3 linked regions of the Macaca mulatta genome follow. The protein of the gene in region 3 purifies or fractionates together with the protein of the main gene of each other region. This does not show direct contact. Links are inferred from orthologs where the notes say so. Each region holds a gene or a part of one and is shown on either strand. Other genes may lie near its edges. The genes, in order: PHLPP2, FBXW5 and WDR20.

The links.
Region 1: the proteins of WDR20 (region 3) and PHLPP2 purify together in Homo sapiens (affinity purification with mass spectrometry; 4 studies listed by BioGRID and IntAct, with this or other methods). This does not show direct contact. The link is inferred for Macaca mulatta from reciprocal best matches to the Homo sapiens genes WDR20 and PHLPP2.
Region 2: the proteins of WDR20 (region 3) and FBXW5 purify together in Homo sapiens (co-immunoprecipitation; 3 studies listed by BioGRID and IntAct, counting the BioPlex papers as one, with this or other methods). This does not show direct contact. The link is inferred for Macaca mulatta from reciprocal best matches to the Homo sapiens genes WDR20 and FBXW5.

The regions. Positions count from the first base shown.
Region 1 is NC_133425.1:68,207,465-68,211,119, reverse strand, and holds part of PHLPP2 (PH domain leucine-rich repeat-containing protein phosphatase 2), read right to left. Parts: intron 3,135-3,655; coding exon 2,988-3,134; intron 2,591-2,987; coding exon 2,360-2,590; intron 237-2,359; coding exon 34-236; intron 1-33. UniProt on the Homo sapiens protein: Protein phosphatase involved in regulation of Akt and PKC signaling.
Region 2 is NC_133420.1:5,526,136-5,528,407, reverse strand, and holds the end of FBXW5 (F-box/WD repeat-containing protein 5), read right to left. Parts: coding exon 2,146-2,272; intron 1,778-2,145; coding exon 1,630-1,777; intron 1,557-1,629; coding exon 1,344-1,556; intron 1,266-1,343; coding exon 1,022-1,265; 3' UTR 517-1,021; downstream 1-516. UniProt on the Homo sapiens protein: Substrate recognition component of both SCF (SKP1-CUL1-F-box protein) and DCX (DDB1-CUL4-X-box) E3 ubiquitin-protein ligase complexes.
Region 3 is NC_133412.1:175,552,063-175,555,717, forward strand, and holds part of WDR20 (WD repeat-containing protein 20), read left to right. Parts: intron 1-549; coding exon 550-732; intron 733-1,485; coding exon of another isoform or gene 1,486-1,516; intron 1,517-3,373; coding exon of another isoform or gene 3,374-3,466; intron 3,467-3,655. UniProt on the Homo sapiens protein: Regulator of deubiquitinating complexes. Activates deubiquitinating activity of complexes containing USP12. Anchors at the base of the ubiquitin-contacting loop of USP12 and remotely modulates the catalytic center of the enzyme.

The sequences.
Region 1 (3,655 bases), on a different chromosome or scaffold from region 3:
GAGAAAAAACAAAAGGCTGGATAGAAAACTCACTGTTGGAACTGGCATAGAGGGTCCGAAGGGAGAAGCCACTGAGTGTTAGCTCCCTCAGCTGGTTCCGCTCACAATGCAGCTGTTCCAAGCTGCATAAGGAGCTAAGATCCAAGTCAGTCAGTCGGTTGTCCCGCAGATCCACGTGGGTGATGTGTTTATTTCCCTCCAGATTTTCAATAACCATGGTTTTCAAATGGTTCATCCTTAATATGCAGAAACAAGAAAATAATCAGAAACAAGAGTCTATTAAATGTGCTTACCAGAATAAAAAATAGGACAGGCATGATCCCTTTCTCCGTTTCCTTTTCTTTTTGTTTTGAGACGGAGTTTCGCTGTGTTGCCCAGGTTGGAGTGCGATGGCGTGATCTTGGTTCACTGCAACCTCCGCCTCCCGGGTTCAAGTGATTCTCCTGCCTCAGCCACCCAAGTTGCTGGGATTAGAGGCACCCCCACCATGCCCAGCTAATTTTTTGTATTTTTAGCAGGGATGGGGTTTTACCATGTTGGCCAGGCTTGAACTCCTACCCTCAGATGATCTGCCCACCTCGGCCTCCCAAAATGCTGGGATTACAGGTGTGAGCCACCATGCCCAGCTCCCTTTCTCTGTTTCCTAAACAATTTAAGAATTTCACTACTTGCCTCATTTTGCAAGATACTATATAAATAACTACAGTTGATGAATAACTCAAGGTACAGCTAAGTCAGACAATCCAGATTGGCAAATACATATACAAACTAATAAAGAGAAGGAAAAAAGAGGCCATATCCTGAACAAGTTAAACACTTATATCCAAACACCTAATAAGGTCAGGTGGGCACTAAGTAGGACAAAGGAACAGGAAGATGAACACAACCTTTTGAGTGAGACAGTAGCAAAACAGTCACAACAGTACCATGTCCAGAGTATAAGGATAGAACCATACTTCCTCCTATTGCTATGCCTGCTCTATCTCTAGTGCTAAGGTTCACATAAAATTAATTGACAAGGAAATAATCTGTGTATGTATATATACATATACACACACACATATATATACACACACACACATATACCGAAGAGTTCAAAGGTAAATTATACAAAATGACCTCTGAGTTCTTTTCTGTACAAGTATATGATTTAATTTATGCAGGTCTGTTCTCACTTTCCTGTATTTCTATAAATCTCTCAAGTCTCCAGTGTGGTTAAAAAAACAAAAACAAAAACTCTCTGTTACTGTCTTTACAAGGTACATCAATGGTTTACTGTAAATTACAGAACACCCAATAGGTGTCTTTTTACCAGCTTCAATTAGGAAAAGGTTATGACTAGAAAATAAAACCCTCATAAAAGGTTCTTAGTAATGAAACCTTTAACATTTTAATTGTAATACAATGGATATCAAGAAGAAACCTAATGACTCAACAGAAAAATGTCATTTATGGAAATCTACAAACTACTAATATACATATAAAAAGATGTTCAACCTCACTGCTCTGTAAATAAATGTTGATTAAAACAATGAAATACTTGTTTCAATCTACTAGACTGATGATAAAGAAAAAGAAATGCTAAAATCCAACACTGACAAAGATATGAGAAAATGGGAATTCTCCTACAATGTTGGAGGGGTTGGGCACAGTGGCTTACACCTGTAATCCCAACACTTTAGGAGGCCAAGGCAGGAGGATTACTTGAGCCAGGGAGTTCAAGACCAGCTTGGGCAACACAGTGAGACTCCATCTCTACAAAAAATTTAAAAAATAAAAAATATACATTGATGGGAAGGTGAGCAAAAACAACCTCTGTCCAAGGCAATTTGATAGTCTCTATCACATGGTACAACTACATGATCCTGAATCTCTCTGCTACTGAATGATAACTAAAGTCTTACTATACCTTTGAAAATACACATTTCTATACTGTTCAAAACACCTAATGTTACGGGCCAGGCATGGCAGCTCACACCTGTAATCCCAGCACTTTGGGAGGCTGAGGTGGGTGGACTGCTCGAGTCCAGGAATTTGAGACCAGCCTGCACAACATGGTGAAACCTTGTCTCTACTAAAAATAGAAAAAAAATCAGCCAGGCCTAGTGGTGCGCACCTGAAGTCCCAACTACTTGGAAGGCTGAGGTGGGAGAATCGCCTGAGAACAGGAGGTCAAGACTGCAGTGGGCTGAGATCGTGCCACTGTATTCTAGCCTGAGTGACAAAGTGAGACCTTGTCTCAAAACAACGACAACAAAATTTTAAAAACCCTAATGTCTTAAACAAATCTTCATAAAGAGAAGACATAAAGGTCCAACAGAGTCAATTTAAAGGAAGCTGCGGTAAAGAATAACCTTACCTTAAATCCACATGCTTGATATGGTTCATCCTATTCAGCACCCCTAAGTTCAGGACTTCCAGGCAATTTCCTGCCATAACCACTTTATCTAACATAGTGAGTTTCTCATAAACCTCAGGAATTTGACTAAAGTTGTTGAACGAAATTCCCAAAGAGGAAAGCTGTTGTAGATTTCCCAGTTCTTCAGGTAAAGTAGTCAGAAAGTTGCCATCAAGACAGAGGGTTTGAAGACTACAGGAAGAAAACAAAACAAGTCTACTTTATGGAAGGTTTCACTGGAATGCATAGAATCAGAGTTACGGATTCTGATTTATGTCACTAATTATCAATCCAAAAATAGTAGTGTCCTAACTCTCCATCTATACAGACTTAATAGATGACTTACACATAACTTACACAAATGGTCACCCCAACATTAAAAGAGTTAAGACCTCTGCTGTTGAAGCTGAGGGATCAGTCCCTGCTACAGGCAGGTAGATCTATGATGTCAAAAACTGCTGCTGACTAGAATCCTAGTAAGTACATGATTTATTTCACTGCAAGAGCTCACAGTACTACCTTCATTCCAAACCCCAGGCAAATTCCTTATCCTGCAAGGGAAAAGATGAATCTAGTAAAAGTTACTTACTTTAGCAGATTGCCAATTTGACTTGGTAGGTCACGAAATCCATTACAGGAAAGGTTGAGCTCAGTCAGGGTAGAGATCTCACATAATAATATAGGAAACAACCCAAGTTTATTATGGGACAAGTTCAGGCCCTTCAGCTGAGAAAATCTAAAGAGCAAAGGCAAAAATGGATACTGCATTTCAATACATCTATTACTATATCTTTACGAGGGACATCAATGGCCTTTGATAATCCATTTTAAATGTCTATAATAGAATTTATTCCAAAAATACTTATTGAGCACTCGCTACACATCAAACATTGAGTGGGGACAGAGGACACCAAGATGACTAATGCACAGTCCATGTGATGAAGGAAACCAGGTCTAGCATTACAGGAGCTCTCTTTTCTCTTTAAAAAGGTAGACAATCTTGAAGAACAGCTCATGCTGGTATAATTCTTTTGTATTTCATCATACTTGATATGCTTGAAATTTTTCATTAAATTTCTACATGTAATACACAAAAGCCTTGCAAGAATTAATCAACTCATAGAGCAACAGCTAACAAATATGTAGATCAAATCCCATTTTTAATAAGCAACTTCTTTTTTCATACTGAAATTATGTTGGCTCAAATGTCACATAAAATGAATAAACCAGTTAGAGCTTGAAAATAATGAATGTGAC
Region 2 (2,272 bases), on a different chromosome or scaffold from region 3:
TTGTCACCACCATCACCCTGGGCCCCCTGAGCTCCGGTGCAGCTCTGACAAAGCCTGCAACGTCCAGCTGGAGCTGCACCTCTGCTGCCACTTCTGGGCCCCTGGTCCCTTCCTCCTCGGCATGAACTCTGAGGAGCTCTGCCCAACACCCTCCCTGCCCCCAGCAGCCGAGGCACTCCCTCAAGGACGGGACTGACTGTGGAGGCTGCCCTGGCACTGGGAGCGACGCGGCCTACTGACCCTGGAATCAGCAGGCCCTCCATGCTGCCAGCCCCGGCAGATGTGCCAGGCATCTCCCTGGATGTCACAGAGGGGGGACAGGGCAGTGTGACAAAGTCTGGCACCAGTACATGACCTCAGACGCACATGTCACTTGTCAGCAGTGACTGCAACAACCACTCCAGTGGGGCCACTATGCCAGCGGTGACGTCACCCGTCAGTAGTGACGAGATCCGCTCCACTGTGCCAGTGGGGCCCATGGTCTCCCTCCCTGCAGACAGAGACTGAACAACAACGTGCTGTTGCCAACTGTTTATTCAGGGCCCTGAACGGGTGGTGCGTGGACATGCAACACACTCGGGCCCACAGCAGTGTGACTGGCCGCTCCCAAGCCCCGGGCGCACAACCACAGCCAGGCTGCCAGAGCCAGCAGCCTCTGCCACTGCTGGGCCACTGTCCAGGGCCCCGCAGGACCAGCCGAGGGTGCCCCAGGCTGAGGCCAGCTGGGGCGGGTGAACCCCTAGCCTAGGGATGAGCGAGGAGCGGCACCCCCAGTATCCTGTGCACCCCAAGCTGGCCAGGAGGCCAAGGGGACCTTGGCTTCCAACCTCACTGGCCACCCTGTGCCAAGCATCACAGCTGCGTGAGCAGGTTTGCGTGTGAGAGCGTGGCGGGGCCTGGCTGTCCCCTTCCTAAGGCGTAACTGCTACAAGCGTCTCCACCTCTCCCGCTCGGGAAAGAACCACAGAGCCTGGGTGGCGTCGAGGGGTCCCAGCGGCTCCAGTGCACCCTGCAGCACCCCTCAGCGCCTCTGGCTGGCAAGCCAGGAGAAGAAGGCGCGAGGCCGCGGACGACGTGCCTGGAAGACGCGCACGGTGCGTGGGGAGCGCCAGGCTTTGATGGTGGCATCGTCGCTGGCCGTGAGCAGCAGCTCCTGCTCCTGGGGACTGAAGGCCACTGAGTTGACCACGTCCTCGTGCCGCAGCTTGGCCAAGCAGATGTTGTAGTGGCGGTCCCAGATGTAGCCGTGCCGGTCCTCCGCCCCACTGCAGAACAGCGCCTGGATGAGCCGGTCGCCCGCCTGCTGCGCCCACGCCCGCCCTGCACCACGCTGCGCCCTGCACCTGGCCACGAAGTCCCTGCTGACGTCCAGGAAGATGAAAAAGCACTCGTCGTTGGGCGTGTAGGCGCGGTGCGCACGCAGAGCCCGCCTCACCTCCCGCATGGTCTTGAGGTCGAACACCAGCAGGTCAATCTCCTCCGCGATGGGTGGCGGCTGCATGGGGTCAGCCACCACCGCACCACTGGGCCAGGCGCGGCTGTTCACATACAGGTACCTGGGCGAGGGGCACTGTGCTAGGTATGGGCCACCTGCGGGCACCCCGCCTGGGACACTGGCAAGAGGCCCACCTGTTGTCGGGCGACAGGCCCATGCCAATGATGTGCCCGTGCACGTCTATGACGTGGTCCAGCGCGTCGAAGAAGGCATCAGAGCCCCGGCCCTCGCCCAGCACGGGCCCCGCCGTTGTCATCTGGTGTGGCAGGATCTGCTTGATGCCTGCAGGGAGGGCTGCGGTGAGGGTCCCTGCCCAGTGCCCCGGGGACGTCACTCCAGGACAGCCCCCTACCCCAACAGTGTCTCTGGGGCTGTGGGCACCGCAGAGGTCTGCGGGCATTGCCTGCTCCGGGGGCCCCAGACCTGAATCAGGCCCCTCAGCTGCTCACTGGCCAGCGGGCCTGCCTGTTTGTTTTCACCGCTCATCCCGCAGACCCCAGACGAGGCCAGGTCTGGGCTTGTGACCCCGGGGTGAGTGAATGATCCCAGCTGTGCCTGTGAACTTGCTTGCCGTCTGCCCCCCAGGACCCCTGCCCGGCCTCCCCCAAGCTGCTAGGACCGAGGCGGGCAGCATGGCGGCAGGGGTGTACCGATCTGGTGTGGGGAGTAGGTGAGGCAGCCAGTGGTGAAGATGAGGTACTTGCTCCTGGCGCCTGTGGCACTGCGCTCAGGGGGCTTGGTGTGGCCCTGGGCCAGCAGCTCGGCCACCTTGGTCTC
Region 3 (3,655 bases):
GGCTTGCTGGCCCTACTCCCATAGTTTCTGATTCATTTAGTCTGGGGTGAGGTTTGAGATTTTTGCATTTCTAAGTTCCCACGTGCTGCTGCTGCTGCTTCTGGTTTGGGGACTACACTTTGAGAACCACTGGGCTGCAGGTAACTGGCCAGTGGGCATTTAGGTGCTGTAGATACATTGAAAGCTGAGCTTGTTATGTGGTCACTCTGTTAGACACTGCTTGAAATGCATTTTGAAAATACTGAATTTAGTATCTCAAGGATATTTCCTGCTGAAGTCCAGGAGTCTTTGTTACATGTACTTGAAGGAGAATAAGTTGTGAAAGTAACAGTTATAAACATATTATAGATAGTCTAATAATATCGAATTGGCTAAGGTATGTGAAAGTGCTTTTATAAAATGTTAGATGAATGTTGTCACAACTGAAAAAATATTTTAAATAACTTCGTTTTTAAGATTAAACATCATAATGGAGTATAAAATAGCATAACTTAGATTTCTCATCTCAATGTGCTGTTTACTGTATGTATTTTTCTCTTTCTCCTCCAGGCTGCTGACTTGAGTAAACCAATAGATAAAAGGATATACAAAGGAACACAGCCTACTTGTCATGACTTCAACCACCTAACAGCCACAGCAGAAAGTGTCTCTCTCCTAGTGGGCTTTTCCGCAGGCCAAGTCCAGCTTATAGACCCAATCAAAAAAGAAACTAGCAAACTTTTTAATGAGGAAGTAAGTAGCACCCCGTCTTAGCTGTTAAGAATCCCTTTAAGAGTTGATACATTCTCACCGAGGTTAGTGGGCCTTATTTTGCACTTCAGGCTAAGCCCATTTTTTATTCGCCCAGCCCTCCTACCTAGTATGCCCAAGTTTAAATGTGGTGGATAAATTTGTTGACCTTACCTGTTCTTCCTTGGGGTAACTGTTTTGTGCATTTTTATGGAGCATGCTCAGGTGTCTATAACAGTTGTTTTAAAACTCTTCTATAATGGAGATAGGGACAGTACTGTAACTCGGTATTTATAATTTAAATAAGAAAATATAGAATTCCAAAGTTGGTTTACATCACCAGAACATTTCATGCAGATCAAAGAACTTGATGACATTTCCTTAGGCTGCTTAAATTGTAGCTAAAGCTTCTGTATGTGTGTTTGACAGTTATTTGGCTAAGGAGTACTTCACTTGCTCTTGAAAATAGTTGCTGTAAACTCACCTTTGACATAGTTAGAAATTCTGGCACTTAAAGTTTGGTCACATGACATAGCTTTTGCCAGTGTTGTAGTATGTACTGGGGTTTCTAGTATCTTCAATTTCATTCTGGAAAGAGCCTGAGATATCTGAGCTGTCTGTTCAGGAACATGTCAGGGCTGTTAAATGTGGCATATAGAAATTGCCAAGTAGATTATATTTTTTAAAGCTGTTGGAGCATCTTTCAGCCTCAAGTATTGCTATTTCATATTTAATGTTCTTCCTCCTCTGTTTCAGTATGACTTTTCTACCAAGTGGGAAAGATAAGGTAGGCTTGCTGAGTTAGAAACCCTGGGTTCCAGTCTCTACTTGGGACCTTGCCGCTGAGGTGCAAGGGTCAGGCTATGTAGGACCCCCTCCCTTTTGCATTGTTGCATGGTTTGAACATCATTAACTTGGAACAAAAACACATTATAGAATATGGTTTTTAAGAAATAATTTTGTTTGGGGAAGAAAGTTCAAATTGACAAATAAATGGCAGTTAAAATTTGGATTCTTCTGCAGTCGTGGTGCTTGCTATCCATGCAAATCAGCGTCCACCCAGGGTGCTCCTGTCTGACTTCGCCAGTGGGTTTGATAAGATCTTAGGAACCATGCCGTCTCTTCTAGTTTCCTCTGAGTTGACTGGAAATAAAACTTGCCATCTGGACTGACACACTGTAGAGGAAAAGTATTTAATCCCATTTTGCATTAAAAAAAAGTGAAGCAGAAAATATTTTATTTACCTAGATGTTTTGTTAGTATCATCTGAGGAAGTGATTTCTGAGTAGCTGGATGATTATTTTTTTGGTGCTGGGTTGCGGGAGCAGCACACAAAATTGGCCTCCTGTGCACTGTTAGCAGAAATTGTGAATTTGGAATCATTGTGGGTTTTTATTGTTTAGGTAAGGGAGAGTGTGATTGAGGGGGCAGGGATTGGAGCCATGTACAGGGCTGTTAGTAAACAAGACCCGGAGGCAGCCCTGGCCGAGGATGGTACAGAATGCCGCTTAGAGAACAAGAAAGTTTTGTGTGTCGTGGCAGGGGGAGGGCAGGGAGTTGGAGACCACACGTCCCCAGAGTTTCAGGGCTCTGGGAGCACCCAGGCTGCGTCAGCCAGAACTCGCTGCCCTGGTGACTGGGAGTTGCAGGCTGGAAGGCAGCTCCTCATTCTTCATGATTTAAGCATGAGTTTTCTCATACTCATTTTACATTTTATTTGAAAAATTGCTATTTAGAATGCTAGGACTGTGTGTGGTTTAATGCCAGCTTGGCATTTACAGCTTGAGGCTGAAATTGATTGCCCTTCATAGTAAGGAAATTCTCTGGCCGTGTGGATACATTTTTATCAGATTTTGGTCAGAATGTCTAAGAGCAAGAGTCACTGGAGGTTTGTTCCTTAGAGAGTGCCAGGAATGGTGGTGGAGTAGTCATCGTGTCGTGCTTTGCTATGGTGTGAGATTTACAGGTTTCAAGGCACTTTTACCTGTGGCCTCTATGGGGAGGGTGGGCAGTTATACCCATTTTACAGATGAGGAAATAGTCAAAGAGCACGTAAGTGAATTGTCCAGATCAGGTCGCAAGTTGATGACAGAGTTGGAACCAGAATTAATCCAGAAACTCTTATTGGTTACAGGCCCTACCATGCATGGTTGCCAGATCAGCTCTTGCCCTTCTGGGAGCTCACAGTTTAGTAAGGATGGACAGAGAGTACTGGGCGTGTGTCAGCATAGCGATATGAACAAAATACCAAGGGGTAGCTGCCGCAGGAATTCTTCAGTATGCATCACATAACATAAGGTTTTTAAAAATGTTAAGTTCACTGGGGGAGTTCCAAGAAATGCTTTCAGAAAGTGACATTTGATCTGGGTCTTAAAGGGTACATAGTCGTTAGAGGAGGGTAAGGAAGGCCTTCAGAGCTGGAGGAACAACTGGGCATGTGAAAGAACGTCCAGGAACAGCTTGGCCACATCACAGTGTGGGACTTGGAGTGGCAGGGTTCGAAGCTGGAAAGATCAATTGGAAGCAGCTTGTACTATAAAAGCCCTTTCATGTCACGTGAAGAAATTTGGAGCTGACACTGGAGGATGTGGGGGAGCCTTTGGCCTTTTAATCAAGGGAGTGACAGGATCAACTGTGTTTTTAGAACTCTTGTCAGCACTTGTGGAAGGCGGATTGGAATGAAGACAGACAGGATGAAGGTAGCAAGACCAGTGAGGAGGCTCTAGTAACTGTCCAGGTGAGAGCTGAGGGCTTGAACTGGAGTTGTGGCCATTGTTTCATTCATTCAGGACCTGACTTCCTGCCACATGCCCAGCACTGGGTCTGCGGCAGCAGCAAAACCTGCCTTCCTATGGCCCCTCAGGAGGGAAGAGAGGTGATAGCACCACCCAGACACACTGGTGACCACAGATGGTGACACTCTGTG